Linked DNA regions of Sus scrofa. The protein of the gene in region 2 purifies or fractionates together with the protein of the main gene of each other region. This does not show direct contact. Links are inferred from orthologs where the notes say so. Each region holds a gene or a part of one and is shown on either strand. Other genes may lie near its edges.

Region 1 (4,014 bases), about 140 Mb from region 2:
TTGTAAAATACTCACGGAGTATCGCTAGAGTAATTACAAATCAATACTAGAGGCTGGTTCTGAGTCCTGCTACCAAGGTTTATTTAATTCCAAGTTCAAATCACACAGAAAATAAAATTTTCTCCTTAAAAGGTTCTGTGGAAAAATGTTCTCTGTTCTGTGTAACAGCCTTCTCGGTTGTGTTTGTGTCTGAAGAGAGGACTAGTCTGACGGGAAGAATTACAAATCTGGAGCTCATTTTGGCGTCCCAGAGGGAAGGTGGGTGGAGCGTCTCACAGTAAATTAGGAATTCAGAATGAAAACGTAGCCGAGTTTATTTGGGTTTCTAGTGACACCTCAGAATTATTGTGCAGGCGTGTCAGAGGCAGCTCAAACTAATGACTGCTCCTCCTCCGCCCCGGGGGTGCTGCGTGCTAAGAACAGGAATCCCTCTCCTTTGGGCATAGGGATGAGGCTCTTCCCTTGCCCCGCAGAATCAGGAAGGGGGAAGGGGAAAGGAGTGTGGTTTGGAGCCCAGTCTGGGTCGGCTCTGAGTTCCGGAGAGGGGCGGGAGGCAGTTTGGGGGTGTGTCTGAGCTCAGGATCTGAGGTCTGAGGCCAGGATTTGGAGACTTTCTGGGCCTAGAATTTTGGGGTGGGTATCTAGGTTTTGGGTGGATGTGACAGCGGGAGGAAACAGTAGACTGGGTAATATACGAAAGGCACTGAAGCAGCATCGTGGGGCGGGGATTTTGAAAGTTGAGACGTGGATATGGGGAGGGGAAGTTGAAGCCTGCCTGATGGTACTAAGGATCTGGATGAATGTGGGGAATTGATGGTGCAGGGCTGTGAACTGGGGTCGGGCTTAGTACCACATCTTAGGTGAGAAGAAAAGAGGCTAGGAGAAAAAAGCGTCGAGCAGCCACAGCCTTTTTCCGAAAGCAACTCATACCCAGACACACCCATCGCTCAGCCCTTAGCTCTTAGCCCTTAGCCCTTGAAGGCGGGAGCCTCGGCAGCGTCTGGGCTAGACCCTGCCCCCACCCGGCCTCCACGGAACTCGGAGCTGCTCCTGCTGGGGCAGGGGTCTGGCTGCCCGGCCCCCCGGGAGTTTGGGGGCGTGACCAGTGAGCGGAAGCCTGCGGCTCTGGATTGGCTGCCCAGCGGGCCTGTGGGCGGTGCTCCTGGGTAGGTCCCGCTTGGCCGCTTGCAGACGGCGGGGAGGCGGGGCCGGCGGGAGCCCGACAGCCAATGGTCGCGCGGCCCCCAAGCAGTTACAAAGGGCCGGAGCGAGGCCGCCTCGGCGGCGGGGGAGGTGGGGCGAGGCGAAGCTTGTTGAGGCGAGGCGGCGGCCGGGCCGGGCCGGGCCACAGGCAGTGGCGGCGGGACCATGGAGGTGGCGGCCGGTGCTCGCGTTCCCGGCTGCTCCTCTTCGTGCTGGCGGCGACGGCCACGCTGGTCCCGGAGGCGACGGGTGAGCGGCGGCGCGGCGGAGCTGGCGGTGGCTGCGGGGCGCGCCGGCCGGGCCCGGCCTCTGGCTCGCTCCTTCTCTTTCTCAAACATGGCGCGGGGCCGGGGGCGCAGGTGGCGGCGCCCGGGCGGAGGCCGGACTTTAAGTGCCTGGCTGCCGCCACGCGAGCCGCGGGCGGGAGGCCGAGGCGGGGCGAGGGCGTGGGTTCTAGCGCGGGCGGACGTGCCCGGCAGCCCGCGGCCGCCCGAGCTGCAGACTCTGAGGGAGGTAGCGTCGGGCGGAGCCGTCCAGGGTTGGGGGCTGCCCTCTGGGAAGCGAGTGGGCGCAGGCCGAGGGCCCCAGGGTGCGAGGCTCTCCTGGACTTGGAGAGCTGGGGCTGCCCCGAGTCCCCGCTAGTCGCTGTGTGGCGTTGTCCCGGGCACCGCACCCAGAGCTGTTAGGTGCTTCAGGCTCCGGGGGCCCGGGCGGGGTTGGGGGCGGAGGGGGCTTCCAGGGCGGAGTGTGAGCTCCAAGTCTCCAGGGCCTCCTCCAGCAGTGGGAGGGCGCGACGTGTGACCCCCGAGTCAGCAGAGACCCTCGGGTCAGCAGGCCTCCCTGGCCTTCGGCGCCGGTCTGACCCAGCCGAGAGGGGCTGCTTCCTCATCCAGGGGTGGCTTTGGAATGGGAGGTGCTGCGAAGCTTTGTTTGAGGACAAGGAGGCACTGAGATGTGCGGAATGTTTCTTCTTTTCGTGCGTCTGGGGAAGTGTTGAAGTGAATCCACTAACCAGAAGGCTACAAATTGTTTCGTAGTAGAAACTTGAACGTTTGCTCACTCTGCGGGGTTTGGAATGTTTGAATGGAAATGACTGAGTTGATCACACGTTTTATTTCCTCGAAGGACATCTCTAGAGATGTTGCATTTCTTGAGTGACGGTAGTTTTCATCAGTTGTCTGTATAGCTGGTTTTCAAGGGAGAATGTTTGCTGCATTTTCCAAAATATAAATTGGGAAAGGGTATATGGTCATCATCTACCCCGTGGAGGGAGGAGTGAAAAACTTTGTTAGCATCCCAACTATAATACTAGAAACTGAAATATAGAGCCTTAGTATAAGCAACTAAAATAAGTTTCTCTTTCTGTAACTGAACAGCAAATGCTTTTGAAACAAAAAAACTCAGTACTTAGGGTGCCAGATATTACTATAAGCAGCTGTCTAAAGAAGACTTACTGTGGTATAGGTGCATAAGGTACACCAAAAGTGTACTATCTAATCCTCACATCCCTCAGGGCCCAGTGGCATTTGCCCCATTTTATAGATGAGAAAACTGAGGTGTGGAGAGGGTTAAGTATCAATTACTAAGAGCTGGAGTTAGGATTTGTACCAAGGGTTCAGTGTTTGCAAAACCTATACGTTTTAAGATACACACTTAACTGTCTGGCGAAGCCCATTTTTCTTTTTTAGTCCTCTAATGAATAATTGATTTTTATTATTCACTTTTAGATTTTGCCCTCATAATTAGAAAAACAGGCTGGCTTTTTTCTGGCTCCTAGTACATTTTTGGAGTCCTTTCACACCTGGCCTTCATTAGAGGAAACAGTGAATTTTTGACATTGGCCTGAGAAGGGGGTCAAGACAGGTGGGAGAATCAATATAGATATGCATCAAGCATAAAATTAACTCGAATAACACAGTTCACTCTTTTCCACCTAGCTTAGCACACAGAGTGTTCCTATATTCAAGTAACAATATTGGACTTCATTAATGTACAGAGCATGGCTTAGTCTGTGCCCTGGAGGAGTTAATAGACTACACTGGCATGCAGACAAGACAAAGCTGATCCAGGTGCTATCATCCTTAAGTCTAGACTATCTCAACTGGTCTGCCTGCCCTGGTAGGTTACGCTGATGTTTCCATTTATCCTTTCATACATTCTGAAGAAGCTCAGGTCTTTTTATTCATTTATTTTTAATTTTTTTTCCTTTTGCAATCATATCCATGGCATATCGAAGTTCCCAGGCAGTGGATCAAATCTGAACTGTAGCTGCAGCAATGCTGGATCCTTAACCCACTGTGCCAAAGTGGGAACTTCTCAGATGTTTTTTAAAATTTGTAATTTTAAACTCCTTTCTAAGAGTTTGTAGTTGTTCCCTCATTGTCCAGGTTATCAGTTTTGTATTTCTTTGCCCAGCTTCTCTCTCCAACATAAATTTCTCTAGGGAAATTGGTTCCTTGTCATTGGTGCACAGTTTAGTTACCAGTATGTCTGCTTATGTACCCATGTGAGTGTGCTCTTTCATAATGTTTTCTTTGAAAATATACCTGAAACTCAGCTCTTCTTTACATTAATGCTTCTTGAATGTTTCTTCCCCTCATTGGATTCAGCTGTCAGTTTAGTCCTGCCTCTTTTCCCTACCCCCAAATCCATTTGCTTTTCAGTATTTCTCTCGCTTATAGGCTGCTGCCAAGCTAATCTTCCTTAGCCATCCTCTCAAAGGGTTTACAGGATTTCCCATTTGTACTCAGTGCTTAGAGCAGTACTTGAGGCTTATGATTAGGGCCATCACTTAGTACCCAGAGATCTCAC
Region 2 (4,300 bases):
CTCGCCGCGCGGGAGAGAGCTGCCCGAGACAGAGCCAGCCCGCCGGCGCCGAGCTGCCGAGCGCCTGGCCCAGGAGTCCCTGGTGCGGCGCGGCGAGCCCCCGGCGGCGGCAGAAGGACTCGAGCGCCAGGAGAGGGCGGACGGGGGACAAGGAGGCTCCCGGGCGCGACGAGGAGAGTCTCGGAGGAGAAGGCGGCGTGAGGGACACCGGGGCCTCCAGCCGACGCAGCCTTGTCGGGGCGAGCAGCCCATAAGGGGAGCCCCGGCTCCCAGGGGAGGGGACACCGGCGGCCCCCGCGCTAGCGAGCGGAGGGCGAGAGCGCGCGACCCGCCAGGGGCCCGCCGCGGCCGCCGCGCCGCCCTCCCCCGCGCTGTCAGCCCCGCGGGGCGCAGCCGCCGCCGCAGCATCTTCTGCCCCTGCGCCCCCGCCAGCCCCGAGGAAGTCCCCGCCGAGGACTAGGGCCCCCGGGAGCTCAGGAGGAAAGACCAGAGACTCCTCCAAATCACCCAGATGCGAAGGATTGAAACAGCCTAGCCAAAGCTTTCTGTGGATTAAAAAAATACACGGCTTTTTTTTTTTTTCCCCCGAAGAAAAGGAGAGGAAGACCAGTGGGGCTCTGCAAGGAAAAAGGGGAATGTAACTCGTGGATACCTTTTTTCCACCCCTCAGACGTCTTGTTCTACTTTGTAAACATTTTCTTTTTTTAAACCCCAGCTCCAGCCAGACGCCCCCAGACCTCCGGGGTGCGAGGAGGTGGTGGTTTTCATTTTGGGCTTTGCGTATTTGGTTCTTAGATTTTGAGAGAACCTCCTTATTTCGCCAAACATCTCCTGCGGGGTGAAGTCCACTCGGCCCCCTCCCCCGAGTCTTCGTGTGCACGGAATTCAAGGAGATCCGGTTACTAAGGATATAGAAGAAAAAAATAAATCGCGTGCCTGCCTTTTTTTTTTTTTTTTTAATTGCCTCCTTCTCCCCACCCCCAAATTAAGTTGCTTAGGAAGGGGAAAAGAGGCTTTTTCCTCCCTCCGGCAGCCCAGCCGAACGCCTTTCTTTTTTTGCCCCCGCGGATCTTCCATGTAGGAAGCCAAGGCTGGCGAGCCCGACACTCGGGAGCCGCTGCGGGGGGGCCTCTTTTTGGGGAGGCGCCGACCGGGGTAGGCTTCGCCGCCCCCAGGGAAGCGGCGGCCGCGTTCCTCCGGGGTGCGCCGGGGCCCGAGAGCAGCGCGCGGCTCGGGCCGCGCGGGGTGGGGCAGCCGGAGCGCAGGCCCCCGAGCCCCGGCGGGCGCCTCCGGGCCCCCGCGCGCCCCCCGGCCTCCGGGAGACTGGCGCATGCCACGGAGCGCCCCTCGGGCCGCCGCCGCTCCTGCCCGGGCCCCTGCTGCTGCTGCTGTCGCCTGCGCCTGCTGCCCCAACTCGGCGCCCGACTTCTTCATGGTGTGCGGAGGTCATGTTCGCTCCTTAGCCGGCAAACGACTTTTCTCCTCGCCTCCTCGCCCCGCATGTTCAGGACCAAACGATCTGCGCTCGTCCGGCGTCTCTGGAGGAGCCGTGCGCCCGGCGGCGAGGACGAGGAGGAGGGCGCGTGGGGAGGCGGTGGAGGAGGCGAGCTGCGGGGAGAAGGGGCGACGGACGGCCGGGCACATGGGGCCGGTGGCGGCGGCGCAGGCAGGGCTGGCTGCTGCCTGGGCAAGGCGGTGCGAGGTGCCAAAGGTCACCACCATCCCCACCCCCCAGCCGCGGGCGCCGGCGTGGCCGGGGGCGCCGAGGCGGATCTGAAGGCGCTCACGCACTCGGTGCTTAAGAAACTGAAGGAACGGCAGCTGGAGCTGCTGCTCCAGGCCGTGGAGTCCCGCGGCGGTACGCGCACGGCGTGCCTCTTGCTGCCCGGCCGCCTGGACTGCAGGCTGGGCCTGGGGGCGCCTGCCGGCTCACAGCCCGCGCAGCCGCCCTCGTCCTACTCGCTCCCCCTCCTGCTGTGCAAAGTGTTCAGGTGGCCGGATCTCAGGCATTCCTCGGAAGTCAAGAGGCTGTGTTGCTGTGAATCTTACGGGAAGATCAACCCCGAGCTGGTGTGCTGCAACCCCCATCACCTTAGCCGACTCTGCGAACTAGGTAAGAAGTTGTTCTGCGCCCACCCACCTCTCCCCTTGGCGCTCAAGTAGTGAAAGAAAAGCCCCCTTCGGCTGTGTGTTTGTGCAGCTGTCTCGCCAGAGGGGAGAGTACATCCCCTCCTGGGAGAAGACTAGAGGGACAAAGGTAGAGAAGGGACTGGGGGGAACCTGGAAAGGCATTCCCTGGGGGTTCCCTTACAGTTTTTTTCTCCTCCTCTGTTTCCCCTAGCGGGGTTTTGGGCACTGCTCATGCACACACTCTACAGACCGGGGGTTAAAAATTAGATAGATTTCTCATTTCCGGATCAACCAAGGGGTGCAGAGAGAAGTGTGTGGGGGGGAGGAGGGGGGGTCACGCCTCCCCTGCACCCGGAAAGGCGTTGAGGTGTGTGGCCGAGTTGGATTCGGTCCAAGCCCGCCAAGGAAGGCTGGGAGAAGCAGTTGTAAAGACTGGAACGTCTCTGCCTGCTCCTTTAGTAAATAAGGAGAGTCCTGTCGGGCACAAGTGGCTGGGAAAGTGCCCTGTCCGGAGTAGCTTTGTGTTTTGGGGCGAAGAGAGTTTGATGGGCGGCGGCGCTGGATATCTGCTCTCAACTCTGCCAGCCCAGGGTGGAAGAGGACAAGCAGTCAGGAGAAGTTGGGTGCCCTCTGCTTTTTCCTTTCTTCCTGCACAGGAAAGCACAGTTCCTGACTGCAGAAGGGTCGGGCCCCAGCCCTCCCTGACGACACGGCCCCTTAACAGCTCTGGGGCCTGGGCTTCTCAGCTGAGATCCCAGCCTCCTGCATTGCTTTCCTTTTCTCTGCATATTTGTGTGGGGCGGGGGTGCACCCGGGGCGTTCACAAATCCAAGTTCACCAGCGGACTTGGGGTAAACCTCGCGGGTGGGCTGGGAGAGGGGAGCCCCGAGTTCCCCCGCGCGGTGTGGAGAGGAGCTGCGGTGGCCAAGGTGAATTTGCACCCCTGGGGGACGAGTCAGGGTGGGGGGGCGGCGGCGGGAGTCGGATCTGAAGTTCTGGGACCGAGCGGGGGCTTGGTCGCCCCCCGCCCTGTGAACTGTGAAGTGCCCGGCCCCGGTAGAGCCGGTGGTTTCCAGCCGGGCCGGCCGAGCGCGGCGGCGGCGGCCGCAGACGTGGAGGAGCGGAGCGCCGAGGCTGGCGCCAGGCGGCCTCTTTTGTTTATCTGACAGCTAAATATCAAGGCAATCACCGCCTCGCGGCCCTGCCTCCAACCCCCACAGCTAAGACAAACAGTTGGGCTAAAAGAATGCCTCTGTTATCATAAGTTTCTATCTCTCTTTCTCATGGCTCGGCCTTTATTTTCTCTTTCTTTTTTAATTCCAGAGTCTCCCCCTCCTCCTTACTCCAGATACCCGATGGATTTTCTCAAACCAACTGGTGAGTAGAGGGTTTTAAATATATCCTTCCTATCTTAGGTTAGAAATGGAGTCTCTAGAACTCGGATTTTTTATGTCTAGGCAGCGGCTTGGGGAGACCCTGGGCTTGCCCCAAGGTGGTTATAGGTTTCCTCTGTGGGAAGTTTGGTGGATTTTTTTCTGTTTTTGTTGTGACTGAACCTGGAGATAATATGTGTGTGTATAGATACAATATTATGCATGTATGTGTTTTTCTTTTTTTTTTTTTCAAAGATGTTTCCTAGATATGCATTACATTTTGTTCCTTTTTTCATGTATTTGCACTCCACAACCCAAGTTGGCTCAGCTTTTAAACACGTGGAATTTGATCCTTGCAGAAGTGTCTTGGGAGCCAAAGAGGACAGGTTGATGGGAAACTTTGGAGACGTTATGAGTGCCAGAAGTATCAGTGGGAAGAATGGATAGCTTGGTGGGAGGGAAGACAGTTTAAAAAGGTACAGAGAGGTCTTTGGGGTAAGCGAATTTGAACCTTTAAGACGTAAAGACGACAGGCCCTTCCCTTCCTGGTTTTCTCAGAATTCTTGGTGGGGGCTCTGAAAGTTTTTAGCATAGTTCTGCCTGCCTGTTGCTTTGTCACCAGATGGCTTGGGGCCAGGGCAGAAGCCGCACTTGAGACTGGCACCAGCCCCGTTGCGGTTGTCTGCATTCAACTTCTGACTGGCAGTGCAGGGGCTCACAGTGCCAGGGGAGGCGGGGGGTCCTCAAAGCTGGGACTCAGGGGTGACCACTGGATGGTCCCCTGTATCTTAGAGCCC
Region 3 (3,500 bases), on a different chromosome or scaffold from region 2:
TCCTTAACCACTAGGCCACCAGGGATATCTACACACTGATTCTCATTTAAATCATGAAAGGGAGGGTGTGGGAAAGCAGGAGACAGCTAGGTCCTCAGGGTGACTATCAACCTTCCATGCTCAATGCACTGCCAGGCAACACTAGGCTTGCTGGACAGAATCTGGCTAAAATGTTTTCGGGAAAAGTAGTTACAATTCTTTTCTGCTTGCTGGGCCCAGGGCATGGTGGCTGAGGGCACATCCAAGCCAGCAGCTGAGAAAACGGAAGCAACTTTCTAGATGAAGAATTTCAGTTTGCCAGAATGACAGAAAGGACAGAAGAGGGAAAAAACACAGATCTGTGGGAAAGAACTGCAAGGTGTTCTTCCTTTATGGTTCAGTGAAACAGCTGATGCCGCCGTATACTGCTGACTCTACAGCCAGCGTCCCAGCCACGCTGCAGACTCGGAGTCCCACTTGGCAGAGGGCTGGGTGTCTCCCACGCGGCCTGAGCCACTGAAGATGTGGGCGGTACCCACTGACAAAAGAACCTCGGTAATGAGATTAATCTGGGTTCTGAAATATCTCTATCCTTGCAAAGGACCTAGGCATGTCACGGGGGATTGGCTGCACAAGTTGTATTAGTGAAACGAATGAATGAATCAGCCAATGAATGAGAAGTGCATGGAAGCTGATGCCAGGAGAGCAGAACCAGGGACAGCAGAGTCCTTTATTCCCTGACTTGCTTTTTTTTTTTGTCTTTTTAGGGCCATACTTGTGGCATAAGGAGGTTCCCAGGCTAAGGGTCCAATCAGAGATGTAGCCACTGGCCTACACCAGAGCTACAGCAATGCCAGATCCTTAACTCACTGAGTGAAGCCAGGGATCGAACCCACATCCTCATGGATGCTAGTCGGGTTCATTAACTGCAGAGCCATGAAGGGAACTCCCTGACTTGGTATTTTTAAGACCGCCTCCCACCTGAGGGTGTGGGTCCTGGACACAGACTCTGAGCCGTGAGATCTCTGTGCAGAGGTTTGGGGAGATGCCTCTGTGGCGACTCAAGGGAGTAGGGCTGCACAGAGCTAAGAGAGGGGTTGCGAAGAGACCTCAGCCAACCTCTGGGCAGTTGGGGGGCTGGGAGCACTCATCTGAGCTGTCCCAAGTTGAGGCAAAGTGGCCAGACGTGTGGGCCCCTGCACCAACCAGTCCTAGATGCTAGCTGCCAGTGCAGAGGCGCCAAGCCTGCCCTACTCCAGGGTGGGTGGAAGGGAGCTCCCTGGAGGGATTTGGGGTGGTTCCAGCAGCCCAGAGTGAGTGCTTCAATGCTACAGGGGGCAGGGGCATGGGAGGGCATCCCCACACCTCCTTCTTTCCTCATCTGCACCCCAGTTCCACTCCTCAGGAAGATGTGTCTTTGCCAAGACAGGTAAAAACACCACTCACTGTATTGACTCTTTGGGGCTGAGACTCAGAGGGGACAGAGAGGGTCTTCCCCAGCGTGCTCACATCTTCTGAGATGGCAAAGCCTCAATTCCAGGGATGCGTGACTCACACTGCATCACTGGGACTTGTGCTGAGGTCAGGGCAACCACCTTAATGACAAAAGCCTGTTTGGGGGAGCAGAGGTAAGTTCTCACCCCCAGGGGACATTTAAGTAAGGATGGTCAGCAGAGAACAGAAGTGAAGGAGCCTGGGGTCACCTCGGCTGGGATCTGAAGCTTTCCTGCACTAAACCTGACAGGTGGTCAGCAGCCTCTCCTGGTCTGACTCTTCCAAAGAAGGGAGCCTGTCCCACATTCAGGAAACTATGATTGAGAAAATTTTTAAACTGAGTCTGTCTGTTTTTCCCCTTGTAAATTCTATGGGTCTCTCTCTGGCCTCTAGAGTTCTGCAGAACAAGTTGATTATAGCTTCCGTCTGAGAGTCCTTCAGATCTCTCTCAACAGAGCCCAGGTCCTCATGTCTAATTGCCTCCACCAGCCCTCAGCACACTTCTGAACCTCTGGATCACACTGGTCCCTGTCCTCTGAACACAATCTCTCACAAAATCCCCTTTTCAAAAGCATTGCTCAGAGCTGGACATGAGTGCAGCTGACAGGTACAGCAAGCTGTCACAGCAGGTCTTTGCTGTCATGTCCTTTGGTTCTTCTGAACCTAATTCATGTCCAGGTATGTAGGGAAATGTGCAAGGCTTTCATATCTATCATCAAGGCTGAATATACATGGTCTGGAGAAAGTCTCAAAAGACCTCTTTCCAAGAAGGAGGGGAGATATGCGAGTTTACATCCTCATTTGCAAATGTTCAGGAGATACAGAGGTGACTTTGAAAAAAAGAGCTGATGAATTGAAACCATCAGAAGTCTTCAAAAATGTTACATTTCATTAATGAAGGGGTATTCTTTATAAAATAAGGACTCACTCTGTTGTCCTTTCACCTCTGGCTCATACTCCCAATTCATAATGATGAGTTAATCAAATGATTCATGAGCACCCACTCTGTGTGTGTGTGTGTGTGTGTGTGTGTGGTGTGAGAGAGAGAGAGAGAGAGAGAGGAGAGAGAGAGAGAGAGAGAGAGAGAGAGATGGAGATGGGGTGGCAGGGAGATAGGAAGAGAAGAGGAAATCTGCTCCAAGAAAAAGATATGCTTCTGCTCCCAGAGAAAGATGCAGTGTTTGACCCAGCAGTGACATGATGCCTTGGCCAAGCCTTCTGACTAAGGAATGGCTTGTCCTCTGGTGCTGTGCGTCCTTTCCCCCTTTTGACAAGTTCTTCCTTTTTACAACAGCCCACTTTTCCTCTCCACAAAACAGGACTGAGTTTGCCTCCGAAGAACAAAGCTCTTGACATCACTACAGGGTCCTCAGGGGTGTCAACTAAATGATAAGCAAGTGACAAACCCCTGATACAAGGAAGGGTTTCCAGATTTATTATAAATAGCAAAGGGGTGTGTATGTGTGTATGTATTTGAAAAATTATAGAGTATCTCTAGAAATGACACTGAATAACTGAAAGAGAGATAGTCTAAAGGGAAGGGAGTGGGACAGGATACTGGGCTCCAGGCAGGAAACACATGACTACATGAGTGATAGAAAGGTTTAAAAAGGCAGCCTTGGAGTTTTCTGGTGGCTCAGAGGTTAAGAACTTAGCATTATCACTGATGAGACTGGAGTCCCTGCTGCGGTGCGGGTTCAATCCATGGCCTGGGAACTTCTGCATGCCATGAGCATGGCTAACAAAAATTAAAATTAAAATTATAATAAAAAAAGGCAGCCTTACCAGACAGCCACGCAGACCTCCTGTGGCTTCTCACAGATGGCTGTGATGCTGCAGTTGCTCAGGCAGGACTTCTGGTTGTCACAGGTGGATGATCGCACATCACAGAATTTACACAGTTGTGGAAGCTTGACGGCACCATTGCTGTCAGTGACCATCATGTCGCTATTAACTAGGAGTGAAAAGAAGATGCAGGGCATGGTTATCTAACTGCTAGGTATGAATGTGATTTCAAAAGAACCTGA
Region 4 (3,500 bases), on a different chromosome or scaffold from region 2:
AATTCTACCCCTAGCCTGGGAACATTATACGCCGTGGGTGCGACCATAAAAAGACTATATAGATAAATAAAAGAAAATAAGATGCCAGTGCCGAGCATATGGCAGTCACTCAACACATGATAGGATTTATTATGACTATTACTATAATGAACACACAGTAAATGATAGTCATTGATAGAGCTGTGTTCTGAGTGGTTTCAAATTTCTAAATTCTAAAACTCCCTTTGGATATACAGAATACAATGAGACAAGTTGTACATCTTCCCTCAATATCCAAGGTAGGTTGGTTCCAGGACACCCCCACAGATACTAAAATCCAAAGACAGTCAAGTAATATAAGCTATGTACATCTTCCCATACGCTTTTTTTTTTTTTTTTTTTTTTTGTCTTTTTGCCTTTTCTAGGGCTGCTCCCGCGGCATATGGAGGTTCCCAGGCTAGGGGTCTAATTGGAGCTGTAGCCACCGGCCTACACCGGAGCCACAGCAACATGGGATCTGAGCTGCGTCTGCGACCTACACCACAGCTCACAGCAACGCTGGATCCTTAATCCACTGAGCAAGGCCAGGGATTGAACCCGCAACCACCACTGAATCACGACAGGAACTCCTATCTTCCCATATACTTTAAATTATTTCTCAATTATGTATAATAAGTAATGCAATATAAATACTACATAAACATAGGGATACCTTGGGGATATTACAGGTTTGGTTCCAGACCACTACAATAAAGAGAATACCACAATAAATCAAATTACATGAATTTTGTGGTTTCCCAGTGTGAGTAGAAGTTATATTTATATCATACTGTAGTCTATTAAGTCTCGACTTAATAGTCTAGACAGTCTTAATAAGTCTATGTAGTCTATTAAGTTTAGCATTATGTCTAAAAAGACATACATACCTTTATTAAAAGATATTTTATTATTTAAAAAAATGCTAACCATCATCTGAGAAAGTTGTAATCTTTTTGCAATAGTATACATCAAAGATTACTGATCACAGATCAATATATAAATTTAATAATGAAGTCTGAAATATTCAAGAATCACAAAAATGTGACACAGGGACACCAAGTGAGCACATCCTGCTGGAAAAACGGTGCCAAGAGACTTGCTCAATACAAGGTTGCCACAACTTTCAATCTGTAAAAAACACTATCTGCAAAAGCGACATAAAAGCAAAGTGCAAGAAAATGAGGTATGCCTGAATTTGCTGGCTGCAGCAAATTCAAATTTAGCCTTTAGAAACTTTCTGGAGTCCCGTCTGTCCCCACCCCAGAATAGTTTCTATCCACAGTTGGCTGAATCCACGGATGTGGTAGCTGCAGATACAGAGGCTAACTGTACTATTTTATTCTGATAAAATCGTTCTTACCTGTTGGAAGGAATCTTCGAACAATGTCTGCCGGGACACATTGATCTTTACATGACTGGGTAGTGCATTAGACTACAAAGAAAAATAACATTGTAATGTAAGTTACAGTGCATGTACTGTGTAAAGATAAAACTAAATGATTATGAACATAAGATTTATTTACCACCGTAGTACCTGGCACAAATAACGGAAGTGAGCAAGTTTCCACCTAAAGCTGCGTTCATAAGCAATCTGTGGGCCACCTTTAGTTCTAAAGAAAAACAAAAACAAACTATATAATAATTCATAATAAAGCTGGATATTTAATATTCAGTATGTGACTGGAGTGTACCAGGGTCCAAAAAATGAGTACAGGAAAGTTACTTGCTGGGAGAGAAGTAAAGATATATTTAGTGGGCCAACAGAGATTCAAGTAATGAGGACACACAACATATAAAAATGAAGAGGGAGGGCATGTGTATGGATAGATCTTTTGTAAAAAAAAAAGTGAGTTAAATAAAATACTAAAGTCAACTACTGACTATTTCAAAGAAAACTTCAAATCCCAGGTGGGCAGAGGCTCTTTCAGGTAGTTTTCTTGTAAAGTGTAGCAATAAAAATGAATTTTCACTGAATGAATTCATAAGGTGAAGAATTATGGTGTTTTGCTTGTCTGTCTTTTTTTTTTTTTTTTTTTTTTTTTTGCTTTTTAGGCCATGCATGCAGCATATGGAGGTTCCCAGGTTAGGGGTTGAATCGTAGCTGCAGCTGCTGGCCTACACCACTGTCACAGCAACTCAGGATCCAAGCCAAGTCTGTGATTTACACCACAGCTCACAGCAACGCCAGATCCTTAACCCACTGAGTAAGGCCAGGGATCGAACCTCCATCCTCATGGATCCTAGTTGGGTTCGTTAACCACTGAGCATGAAGGGAACTCCCTGTTTGCTTTTAATTTAAGGAAATTAACAGCTGCTGAGAATAATTCAGCAGAGAAAGATGGAGAATATAAAGACGATCACTGTTGGAACAGTGAACTGGAAAAGAGGGGGAAGAGCTAGTGCACCAGCACAGGGAGGACTGGACTTTGATAAGAACGATGATAGTTCATCTTCAGGATGAAGAGGGAAGAGAGATACTGATAGGTGGACAGATGCAACGGTAGGAATTGCAAAAAGTTTTTATGGCTATTTCTACATACTTACTGATACAAGGACATTACACTAAGAGTAATAAGGGAGTTAAGGAGAGATCTTTCAAATGCTTAATTGAGCTATTTTTACCTGGAAAATTAAATTTTCTTGAACATCTCATTCTGTGATGTTGCAACAGCATGATGCACCTGTTAAGAGCACAGACTCTTCGGACAGACTGCTTTGGTCTGAAACCACTTCCATTACTTGCCTATAATTTTGCATAAGTTAGCTGTGCTCCCTAAGCCTCAGTTTCTGAACTTGGAAAATAACAGTATCTACCTCAAGGAATTGTTGGAAGATAAAATGAGCTAATTTACACTAAATGTTTAGAAGAATCCTTGGCACACAGTAATCACTAGGTAAATATTTACTATCGTTCTTACTAAGGAATTATGTGCCGCAAAATCATTCTATAAGAAGGTAGAGCAAAGACAGGCATAGTAGAGTATTACTTGTGTAAATTTTCTTGATACACAAAATAAAATTTATTGCTAAACTTGAGGCTAAATTAGAAGTGAAACCTATGTCCTCATTACACAGCACATAAGAGCTTCACTTACACAGATGACTTGCCATTGCGAGGATCTTTGAATGTTGTTGTTCTTGTATTATGGTCAACAAAGTACCTAACCCCTTCCCGGGTATACCTAATTTCCCAGCCTTCTGGCAGGGGTTCTTCATTCTGTAAGCTAAAAGATAATGCAATAATCATAAGGTGAACATTTTACAGGTGCTAAAAACATCTGAATCAAGGTTTTTAATGCAATTCTATCTTCAGACATGTGTAAGATAACCTAAGAAAGGCTGTAGTACATACGTACCCTTGGGTTCTGGGATCCTCCCACTGGGTTGTTTTTGTGTTATGATTCACAAAGTAAACTCTGTCTGTTGAATCCACTCTTTTTTCTAAAAAACAGAGTGAGCATAGCATTTAATAACTTTTTGCT
Region 5 (4,210 bases), on a different chromosome or scaffold from region 2:
TCGCGTTCACCATACTTCAAATTCATGTCCACTCAACAAAATTACAAGACTTGGCCTGGAATTACATTTTCAGTCTATTCACAGAAATTCAAAATATTCCTTTCTGAACCTCAAGCATCTCCCTTGTTGCTTTTGTCTTAAGAAATGAATGTCAGATTCTCTGCTCCTAATTCAGGTTTACATTTTAAAACACTAGCATGAAAACTCCAAAGGCAGGCCTGAAAACATGGTTCACCTGTCAAATGAATGCTGTTTACAACCTGGAACTCACGCTCCTATCACTGGCCTCGTACTGATTCGCTGCGAGCTCACTACTGAACAGACACCTATCCCTTGCTGCCCTCAGGTCCCGTCCAAGCACCCGGCTTCAGGGCTGCCTGGCTCGGCCACTCCTCCGGCCCACCTAGGGAAGCGCCACAGAGGAAGTGCAGGGGAGGGCAGCAATCAAGTTCTTGTTATCGCACAGCCTCTCTTTTCCCAGAACTGATGTTTGACTTGAAGCCTTTTGCAACAGTGGTCTCTGTAACATGCACTATTGGCAACTAGATGTGTCCAGGAAAAAAACTGTAGTGTCTGGCCAAGTTTAAAGGCCTTTGAGAATGTTTGCTGGACACACAACCTAATTTCCAATTTACCAAAAAAAGAAATCAACTCCCTCTTATGACCACCCACCCTCACCCCAACAAACATCCATTTTAGGAAGGTTACCGAAAAAATGAACCCTGCCCCACTCAGAACCAGTTGGATTATCAATTAAACATTCTTAACTAGGCTCACAACAACAAGAAAAAACCCCACCAAACACCACACCAAACCAACAGGGAAATGGCTGTTACAAATCTTGGACCTATTAGGAGCAGGATAAAAATTCCTATGGAAGGAATTTAAAGATTTATACCTACACGTGTAAAATGACAAACCTGAAGGCTTAGTCTCCTTATTAACCACCCTACCAGAGAAATAACATGCTACATACTCCCAAAGCAAGGCCCAGCAAACATTGTTCACGAAAACCAGGAACTTACCCTCCCTTTCAGGCTGCGTTCACACACCTTCACCACGTCTATCAGACCCCACGGCAGCGGCGGTGTGCTACCTATGCCACAGAGTCGCCAGCCCCAGGAACACGCACGAGGTGCTTAACAGAAGCATTAGCCGGTGAACAAAGAGCCCACTGCACAGGCTGCACCACTGGGAACAAATATCAAGGCCGGAGGTAATGAACTTGTTTTTGATACTCCAAAGTGGGATGCTGTCTTTGGCTGATCGTCTGGTTTTTAAAAGAAGCCTCAACCCACCGGAGAACCATTATTTTTAGTGGCGAGAAGAGAGCCACAGAACACACACTTGATCTCCTGCTGCTGGAAGGTTAGGGGCTGCTGAGAAGTCAAAGCAGCAGCAGGCTTTGTACATGGGGAGTGAATACAATCTCGATCGTCTCTCCCAGATCCCTCTGTGGGTCAATAATCACTTCAATATAACTGCCAAATATAACCTTCATCTGCTACCCCAATGCCGACACACATCTGAGACGACTCCCTTCAATTAAATATTTTAGGGTTTCGTCTGCTCGCCTCAGTCCCCTAAGCCTCATAAACAACACACCCAGTGGAGAGTCCCTCGGAAAGGTACCACCTCGGCAGGGAAGGGTGGGGGTGCCATGAGAGAGCAGGAGGCTGTGGGGCTTGGAAGGTAAGGGGTGTGTGAGGGTGGGGGACTGCGTGGGGGGAAGGGCTGGGAAGAGGGATCGTGCGGGAAGGTAAATAAATCCTGACCCAGGGCCGGGAGCCGGTCCAGTGGTGGGGTCTTTAAATAATCTTGGGGGTGGGAGGCAGGGTCTAGGATGTCACCTGAAAGGCATCCACAAAGTGATGAACTGAATGGGCCCCCTGGGGTGGGGTGGGCGAGGCGAGGTGGAAAGCAAATACACCCAGATGCAGATTAACCGTTCTGGGGACTAGGTTTCCTAGGGTTAGAGAGATTCCTAAGACAAGCTCCCGAAAGGTTTAGGGGCCTATTCGTCCCATTTCCTCCAAAGAGCTTCCGCGGGGCATGTGTATTGGGGGGGGGGGGTGGCCCCACTGAACTCAAGGGACTGCGCGAAGGGGAAATGTGACTCGCTTTCCCAGAATATTAGGGAGGAACGAGAGGGAGGGTTAGAGGCACCCCAAGTGCAGGGTCTGAAGGAAGGGTTTGACACCGCTACCCCTTTCATCCGAGGTGCGCGAGGCTTCTCAACACCGGGATCTCTCGGGGAGCCAAAGACCCCACTGCCCGAGCCCCACAATCTTGGCGGGAGAAAAGGCGCCCCCCAGGAGCATCTGGAGGGAGGGAATGGAGACCCCCGCCCCTGGACATATTGAGGGGCAGAAACGTGGATTTCCAAATCTTGGGGAAGGTACCCGGCACTTCCCATTATGGAACACGGGGGTACTGGGAGCGCGACCCCCGAGAGCTCCTCGAATCGTGTTCCGCCTGGAAGAGGGCTCGGGTCCCCAGGGGACCGGCGTGAGCTCGGTCCCAGCTGGGCAGCCGCGCCTCCGGGGTCCGGGAAAGCCGATTGGGGGTCCCCGCGACTCCCCCGCGCCCCCCGCCCGGCCATATTGTGCGCGTGGGGAGGGGGCGCGCTGTAGCCAGGGGCCGCGGCGCGAGGCCTCGCCCTCGCCCGGCCCTCTCCATCTCGGCCCCCGCCCCCGCCCCGGGACTCACCCTGGATCCCCCGGGGCCCGGACCCGCCGCTGCCGGCGAGCAGGAGGACAACAAGGGGGAAGAAGGAGGAGGCTCCAGCCGACTCCGCCATAGTAACCGCCGCTGCCGCCGCCGCCGCAGCCCAGCAGCGCCCAGCGCGCGCGCGCGCGCCCCCGGCGCCTCCCCTCCTCCCGCGGCCCGGCTCCCGCCTCCCTCTTCTCCGCCCGGCGCCGGCACGTGCGCTCCCGGCGGAGCCGGCGCCGCGGCCGCCGCGCGCGCACCCGAAGGGCGGGGCCGGGTGCGCGCGGGCGCCCGCCTTAAAGGGGAGTGTCTCTGTTAAAGGGGTGGGAGGGGCTCGCGTCTCAGCCAACCTCACCCGTGGGTGCCGAGCCCGGCGCCAAGGAGGCCGAGCCGGACACGCGCCCTCCGCCCAGGCCTACACCCCCTGCAGCGCAGCGTGATCTTGTCGGCACCGACCCCCATCCCCCGCATCGAATGTTCTACGAGTCCCGAGCGGGTTCCCGTTCCCTTCGTCCCTACTGCTTAGCCTCAGGCCCCCATCACGTCCCACTGGGGTCGTCACAGCCGTCTCCGAACTGCTCTCCCCGCCCGGTGTGGCCCCCTGCCATCCGCAGGACACACAGACACCTGTGTGATCGAATGGTGGGATGCCCCTTTTCAGAACATACCAGGGCTTGTTAATGACAGTACTCAATCTTGGTAAGAGTGCTGTGTGAGGCACTTCTATTCTGCTGGTAGGTAGAACCCTTTGGTAAGCAATTTGGCATTATGTATCAAATGTCTTAAAATATTCGGATCCCTCTCCCCTGTCTGTCTTCAAGAAACAATAGAGATGAGGACCGATATTTATGAGAAATGTTAACTGGTGCATGTTTATCATTGTAAAAAGCTAAAAACTTAAGTATGCAATAGAAGACAAATATGGCCTGTCTATATGATGGAGCATTATTTAGTAATTAAAAGTTATGTTTGTAAAAATATGATGTGAGAAAATGTTCAGGAGGTAATGTTAAATGAAAGAGCAAAATACAAAGCTATTTACAGTATTGTTCTAATTTTGTTGATACTCTACCTCTGTTTGGAAAAAAAGGCTGGAAGGAAATGACCCAGTATTATCAGTAGTTATCACCAGAATAATTTTTTACTTTTTCTTTAAACAGTTTAGTGTTTTCTAAATATTTTACCAATAAGCAGGTGTTACTTTCAAATTTAGAAAAAACTGCTTATAGAAGGTAAACTGAATCACCCATGTCTTTTTGAAAAAGAATTCCTTTTCCCTAGCTTGAAAAAGAGCTTGACTGAAATCACGTAAAGGGCAGGTTTTGTTTTTTTTTTTCCCCACTGCACAGCAAGTTACACTTACATGTATACATTTTTTCCCCTCCCTTTGTTCTGTTGCGATATAAGTATCTAGACGTAATTCTCAGTGCTACACAGCAGGATCTCATAGTAAATCTATTCCAAGAGCAATAGTTTGCATCCGATAAGGGCAGGGTTTTGG
Region 6 (3,500 bases), on a different chromosome or scaffold from region 2:
CCTTTTTAAATCAACTTTAGTTTGTCCTGAATGTGCTAAGATTTCAGTAACATTTGATCCTTTTTGTTACCTGACACTTCCATTGCCCATGAAAAAAGAACGTACCTTGGAAGTTTATTTAGTTAGAATGGATCCACTTACCAAACCTATGCAGGTAAGAAATGATTCTTTTCTTTTCTTTTTTTTGCCTTTTCTAGGGCCGCTTCCCATGGCATATGGAGGTTCCCAGGCTAGGGGTCGAACTGGAGCTGTAGCCACCAGCCTACGCCAGAGCCATAGCAATGCAGGATCTGAGCTGCATCTGCCACCTACACCACAGCTCACAGCAACGCCAGATCCTTAACCCACTGAGCAAGGCCAGGGATCGAACCCACAACCTCATGGTTCCTAGTCAGATTCGTTTACCACTGCGCCACGACGGGAACTCCAAGAAATGATTATTTTCTTGGCATTTGTTATTTTTATGAAAAATTTGTGATGAGTCCTTATGCCTCAAACACAATTAGATAAAACTAAGCTTTTTTGCATGAGATTTTTATAAGATAAATACTTTGGAAATCAGTACAACTTTTCAGGATCTTGAAAGGGTGAGCAGTGTGCAGAGTATCATTATTTGTCATGTAGAAAAAAATTTCTCAAAGGCTTTTTCTTATCAAAGAAAAATGAGAGTGGTTTGACTTAACAATGTTGGTATGAATATTAGCTTACAAAGATTAATAATGTAGTGTTATTTTCCCTATTTCCCAACTTGAACTTTCTTTAATGTTAATTGTAATTTTTTTCCTAGTGGCTATGGAAGTGAAAATAGGACTGTACATTTTGATTCATGATATGATAAAATAATGGTAATATTTAAATACCTGTAATTTTTAGGCATCTAAAGAATGTGAAAGAGAAACATAAATTTAGTTATACTAAAAATACTTGCTTCAGGAATTCCCCTTGTGGCTCAGCAGGTTAAGGACCCAACACTGTCTCTTTGAGGATGCAGATTCAATCCCTGGCCTCCCTCAGTAGGTTAAGGATCCAGCATTGCTGCAAGCTGCAGTTTAGGTCACAGCTGTGACTCTGATCCAGTGTTGCTGTGTCTGTAGTGTAGGCCCAGCTGCAACTCCAATTCAGTCCCTAGCCTGGGAACTTCCATAATGCAGTAGCTGTGGCTATTTAAAGAAGGTGGGGGGACTTGTTTCACCAACGTTCTTACCTTTTAACTGTTGAGAGTATCAGTTGTCTGCCTGATTCCATTGCTTAGGGTCATAATTGGATTATTTTACATTTTAGGGAGCAAAACACTATTCTCTCCCTTTATTAATCAATCAGTCCTTTTTGACACTTGACCCCCCCTAGTAAAAGTATTTCTTATCTCCTTCTTTTCCCCTAAATTCTATTATAACACTTACCAGGTTTTATTATGACCTTTGGTTTACTTTAACTTTTCTCCCCTAGACCATGAATTCTTTGAAGATTTCAAAGAATTTGAAAACTTTGTAAATCTTTGTCCAACCCTCAGGACTTAGAGGTGTTTAGAAATTTTGTTCATTCAATATGTATTAGGCACCTACTGAGTATAAAGCTCTGGTAAACAAAGTAGACATGGCTCCTGCTTTAGAAGATTGTTTACTAAAGGTCCTAGTTGAAGGTTCTAAATAGAAGCGCAGTTTGTTAGAGTGTGTTAGTTGCTTCATTCTGCACAGACTGGTGTAACAAAATGCCATAGACTGAGTGACTTAAACAACAGAAATCTGTTTTCTTCCTGTTCTAGAGGCTGGAAATCTAAGATCAGAATGCCAGTGTGGCGGTTTCTAGTACAGACTCTCTTCCTTCATTTACAGATGGCCTCCTCCTTACTGTGTCCTCAGACAGCAGAGAGGGGGAGAGAGAGTGTTGAGCACAAGCTCTCTGTTGTCTCTTCTTAGAAGGGTCCTGATCCCATCATGAGGGCCCCATTTGGTTTTTAATTTATTTTTCCAGCAATGTGAATTTCATGATCTCATTAAACTCTCTCTCAAAGGCCCCGTCTCCAGATATCATCACATTGATTAAGACTTCACATAAAGGAGTTCCCGTCGTGGCGCAGTGGTTAACGAATCCGACTAGGAACCATGAGGTTGCCGGTTCGGTCCCTGCCCTTGCTCAGTGGGTTAACGATCCGGCGTTGCCGTGAGCTGTGGTGTAGGTCGCAGACGCGGCTCGGATCCCGCGTTGCTGTGGCTCTGGCGTAGGCCGGTGGCTACAGCTCCGATTCAACCCCTAGCCTGGGAACCTCCATATGCCGCGGGAGCGGCCCAAGAAATAGCAACAACAACAACAACAAGGCAAAAAAAAAAGACTTCACATAAGAATTTTGAGAAGACAATTCAGTCCATAGCATTATTCATAAAATCTACATGAAAGGTATATGCTTTGGACAAAATTATGATCTTACCATTCATTTAATGGAAATATTTGAGTTTACCATCAAGTGTTTGAGTTTACCCAGAATATGAGGAATTAATAAAAAATATAGTCCTTTCATTCAAAGTAATAAGTGTAGTAGAGACTGGTCATGTACCCAGTTATGCAGATTTCACCCACTGCTTTTGCTGTCTGTTTAATATGTCTCCTTCATGAACTCATTAAATCTGCTACCCTCCTGTCAGTATTTGATCCCGTAGTGCTGAAGATATTATAGAGAGCAAGAGAGACCTGGCACTTGCCTTTATCTATGAGCAGGATTAATAAACACCTGCTTTTATTTTTGGCCAAGGGAATATATGAACATACTTCTAAAATTACATCCTTTACTCACTTATTCACTTATTTATAAGTATAGGATTGTTAACATTCTTTTTAAAGGAGAGAAAGTATAGCAGTATTAAACTACACCCTTACCTCTCTAGTTTGTAACTTTACAAATATATGCCAATAAGTATAAGGAAATAAGAGGAGTATTTAGAAAATGAGTAAAAAATCTAAAAATTAATGTACTGTCTCTCTACACTCATTTGCCAAAAATAGTGCTTTCCCATGCCAGTAATATAATCTGTATTATATAGAGGCAGATTGAATTCAAGTTACACATTAGCCCATAAGGTTTGTGTTATTCTCCCATAATTTGGGTTTTAATTTATTTTTCCAGCAATGTCGATTTCTTTAATTTACCTCTATTTTGGTGACCAGCAATAAAAATGTATGGATAGTAGAACCATGGTCAGCATAGGAAATTGGATTTTTTTTTCCACTTGGAGGCTGTAACAACTCAAATCCAAAATAATCACCTCATTAACACTATGCTTTAACCAGCTCAAAAGGAAAAGGAAGTTAACTAGGTTAGCCTACTTGAGTTTTCCTGTCACTGAAGTTGATTTAAATCATAGAAGTTTATTAGTAGTTGAACTGAAACATGTGTTAGGAATTGGACTCACATACTCTGCAAGGTGCTGGAATTACAAAGGTGTTCCTAGTCCTTGTTCTCAAGAAGCTTATATGGTGTGAAAAGTGCTCTGACGGTGCTATAGGAG
Region 7 (2,318 bases), about 14 Mb from region 2:
TAACCACTGCGCCATGACGGGAACTCCTGGGATTTTTTAATAGAAAAGAATGCTGTCTAGTAACTTGAAAACATTACTGACTTACTGCATATATCATTTGTTTAAAAATAAATATCATGAGTGTTTGTCATAAGATTAATTTTTGCTTTTTGTTTTGTTTGCTTATAATAGACGCCTTCCCTGTATGCACCTTTTCCACCAAGTGTGTGTTGACCAGTGGTTGATTACCAATAAGAAGTGCCCCATATGCAGAGTGGACATTGAGGCCCAGCTGCCAAGTGAGAGTTGACACCATGTTTCAGAACTCTTGCCCTCCCTCTCATTCCCACCCTCCTGGTACTGCAGTCAACCAAAGATGGCATGACTTACCTGCGCAGATTTGGAAGCCTTGAACTTAGAGTGCTGGCTCTGCTATATGGTACAACTAATGCTAGACGTACAGTTTATGTATACAGTTGATTTTGATGTATTTATAAAAGCCTTTTTTTCTAGATTTGACATTTTTCCTGTATCATTTTACTGTATTTTTGCATGGTTCCTTGTATTGCATTTCTTTGCACATATTATGGGCTTGTGACCCTAAACTTGCAGGCAAGATTAGCTGCTTTAGTAAGTAGAATTTTGTGGTCTTTTTGTTTTTTACATAGTACCAGGTCTTGAGAATTATGAATTTTTTTATCCATTACTAACGTTTAATTTAATCAATCATGTACTTTAGTTTAATGTATAAAAATCCTCTAGAAAATGATAATATTGTATTAAGACATTCCTTAATTAGGACACAATGGCTGCTGTATATTTACAATATGGAGTTCTGAGTTAAATACCATCCTTGATACTGGGAACAGAGTATAAACCATTTTCAATCAGATGCAGGTGGTATTCACATCACCAGAGTGATCAATAGAAATTTTCTTGGTGTATCCTTTTCCTTTCAGCACAATGCAGATAGAGTTGAATATTGATATCATACATTTAGACTGCTGTTCTGATTGTATTTATCGTTTCCTACATTGTTTAGAACTTTTATTTCCCAGATTCAATTTTTGCTGCTGTGAAACAGCTCTGATGAACACTAAATATTAATTTCAATTAGCTGGATTGTATATACTTGCAGATTTAACAAAATTTTAGGGAAATCGAAGAAGACATGTAGAATTTTTCAGTCTTCTGCTAAGCACGTATAGTAAAGATATCTGCTTGTGTTGAGTTTTGTAAACACATTTAGTCAGGATTTAGAATTGCAGTCACTGGCAGGTATCTATGCATTCATAGAACTTCTAAAGGTCCCAGGATCACTTTTAAAGGGATTTTTATTAGTTTAAAGATAAATAAAGTCAGCTGAATCTACATGTCTCTTGTTTTATTTCTCTTCAAACTTGAAAACAGTAAATCTGCAGATACTGTGAGGCACAAATTATGCTGTCAACCTACTGTTGCTCTGGTTTTAGATTCCCACTTCGTACATTACCAAGAGTCGATCACTGATTTAAAATTTTTAATTTCTATAGTTAAGATTTACTGCATAATATAGAATATTAAAGTTAAGTTAATGTACTAACATTTCTCCTTTGGAGAAAGTTTTAATCCACTTCAGGATGCATATATCAAGATACTTTCATATACAGGATAGCCTAATTTTATTTGTCTAAATATGCTTAATATGCCCCAGATTGCAAATGCATCAGTCAGTAACATCACTGTCTGTATGTGGAAGACATGTTCCCATGAATCATATGTGAAGATGTCAATAAGCTTGCATTAAGCCACCTGCTTTGTAAGTGGATTGATTAATAAATAACTTATATTTCTATTGTCTTTGTGTTTTCATAGTTTGTTTTTATAAAACCATTTATATTAAACATTTGGAATTCAAAAATAATGATCTCATTCAAGTTGACATTTACATAATTTGATGGTTGTTACTCAGTTATGGCTTCTTGTCTTTTATTAATATTAGTAAATAGTTACTCTGTAGTAATTGTCAGTATCAGGTGCTTGAACATAATATGTGGAGAGATGGAAGATGGACTATGGTTAAGAAATTTGGATATGAAATAACATTTTTAAAAAGAACATTTGATGATTAAGCTGTAGTTGGTGGGAAGGGGATGAGACAGAATGAGAGAAAAGGAGAGAAACTTTGTATGCCATCTTACTGGGGACAAGAGCTAGTACCAATAGCATGTGACAGATGTAGGGCTTCACCACTATAAAACACAGGGTCTGTGCCAAGGGATAAGATGGGGAGAATTCAATATAATAGAGTCCTCTTGATGCTCCCCTAAACACAAATATAGATAGATTCCTCTGTTTTT

What was found.
Region 1: the proteins of SMAD7 (region 2) and TGFBR1 purify together in Homo sapiens (affinity purification with western blotting; 19 studies listed by BioGRID). This does not show direct contact. The link is inferred for Sus scrofa from reciprocal best matches to the Homo sapiens genes SMAD7 and TGFBR1.
Region 3: the proteins of SMAD7 (region 2) and TGFBR2 purify together in Homo sapiens (affinity purification with western blotting; 3 studies listed by BioGRID). This does not show direct contact. The link is inferred for Sus scrofa from reciprocal best matches to the Homo sapiens genes SMAD7 and TGFBR2.
Region 4: the proteins of SMAD7 (region 2) and WWP1 purify together in Homo sapiens (affinity purification with western blotting; 3 studies listed by BioGRID, with this or other methods). This does not show direct contact. The link is inferred for Sus scrofa from reciprocal best matches to the Homo sapiens genes SMAD7 and WWP1.
Region 5: the proteins of SMAD7 (region 2) and ACVR1B purify together in Homo sapiens (affinity purification with western blotting; 3 studies listed by BioGRID and IntAct, with this or other methods). This does not show direct contact. The link is inferred for Sus scrofa from reciprocal best matches to the Homo sapiens genes SMAD7 and ACVR1B.
Region 6: the proteins of SMAD7 (region 2) and USP15 purify together in Homo sapiens (affinity purification with western blotting; 3 studies listed by BioGRID). This does not show direct contact. The link is inferred for Sus scrofa from reciprocal best matches to the Homo sapiens genes SMAD7 and USP15.
Region 7: the proteins of SMAD7 (region 2) and RNF111 purify together in Homo sapiens (affinity purification with western blotting; 3 studies listed by BioGRID). This does not show direct contact. The link is inferred for Sus scrofa from reciprocal best matches to the Homo sapiens genes SMAD7 and RNF111.

Annotation. Positions count from the first base shown.
Region 1 is NC_010443.5:240,858,872-240,862,885, forward strand, and holds the start of TGFBR1 (TGF-beta receptor type-1), read left to right. Parts: upstream 1-1,214; 5' UTR 1,215-1,229; coding exon 1,230-1,452; intron 1,453-4,014. UniProt on the Homo sapiens protein: Transmembrane serine/threonine kinase forming with the TGF-beta type II serine/threonine kinase receptor, TGFBR2, the non-promiscuous receptor for the TGF-beta cytokines TGFB1, TGFB2 and TGFB3.
Region 2 is NC_010443.5:98,539,516-98,543,815, reverse strand, and holds the start of SMAD7 (mothers against decapentaplegic homolog 7), read left to right. Parts: upstream 1-1,500; coding exon 1,501-2,113; intron 2,114-2,137; exon of another isoform or gene 2,138-2,675; coding exon of another isoform or gene 2,676-2,748; intron 2,749-2,754; exon of another isoform or gene 2,755-3,059; intron 3,060-3,453; coding exon 3,454-3,507; intron 3,508-4,300. UniProt on the Homo sapiens protein: Antagonist of signaling by TGF-beta (transforming growth factor) type 1 receptor superfamily members; has been shown to inhibit TGF-beta (Transforming growth factor) and activin signaling by associating with their receptors thus preventing SMAD2 access.
Region 3 is NC_010455.5:16,822,370-16,825,869, reverse strand, and holds part of TGFBR2 (TGF-beta receptor type-2), read right to left. Parts: intron 3,428-3,500; coding exon 3,259-3,427; intron 1-3,258. UniProt on the Homo sapiens protein: Transmembrane serine/threonine kinase forming with the TGF-beta type I serine/threonine kinase receptor, TGFBR1, the non-promiscuous receptor for the TGF-beta cytokines TGFB1, TGFB2 and TGFB3.
Region 4 is NC_010446.5:50,415,244-50,418,743, forward strand, and holds part of WWP1 (NEDD4-like E3 ubiquitin-protein ligase WWP1), read right to left. Parts: intron 3,460-3,500; coding exon 3,375-3,459; intron 3,243-3,374; coding exon 3,114-3,242; intron 1,629-3,113; coding exon 1,553-1,628; intron 1,451-1,552; coding exon 1,379-1,450; intron 1-1,378. UniProt on the Homo sapiens protein: E3 ubiquitin-protein ligase which accepts ubiquitin from an E2 ubiquitin-conjugating enzyme in the form of a thioester and then directly transfers the ubiquitin to targeted substrates.
Region 5 is NC_010447.5:17,312,912-17,317,121, reverse strand, and holds the start of ACVR1B (activin receptor type-1B precursor), read right to left. Parts: upstream 2,801-4,210; coding exon 2,710-2,800; intron 2,442-2,709; exon of another isoform or gene 1,026-2,441; intron 1-1,025. UniProt on the Homo sapiens protein: Transmembrane serine/threonine kinase activin type-1 receptor forming an activin receptor complex with activin receptor type-2 (ACVR2A or ACVR2B).
Region 6 is NC_010447.5:27,062,014-27,065,513, forward strand, and holds part of USP15 (ubiquitin carboxyl-terminal hydrolase 15), read left to right. Parts: coding exon 1-154; intron 155-3,500. UniProt on the Homo sapiens protein: Hydrolase that removes conjugated ubiquitin from target proteins and regulates various pathways such as the TGF-beta receptor signaling, NF-kappa-B and RNF41/NRDP1-PRKN pathways.
Region 7 is NC_010443.5:112,960,966-112,963,283, reverse strand, and holds the end of RNF111 (E3 ubiquitin-protein ligase Arkadia), read left to right. Parts: intron 1-171; coding exon 172-289; 3' UTR 290-1,818; downstream 1,819-2,318. UniProt on the Homo sapiens protein: E3 ubiquitin-protein ligase. Required for mesoderm patterning during embryonic development. Acts as an enhancer of the transcriptional responses of the SMAD2/SMAD3 effectors, which are activated downstream of BMP.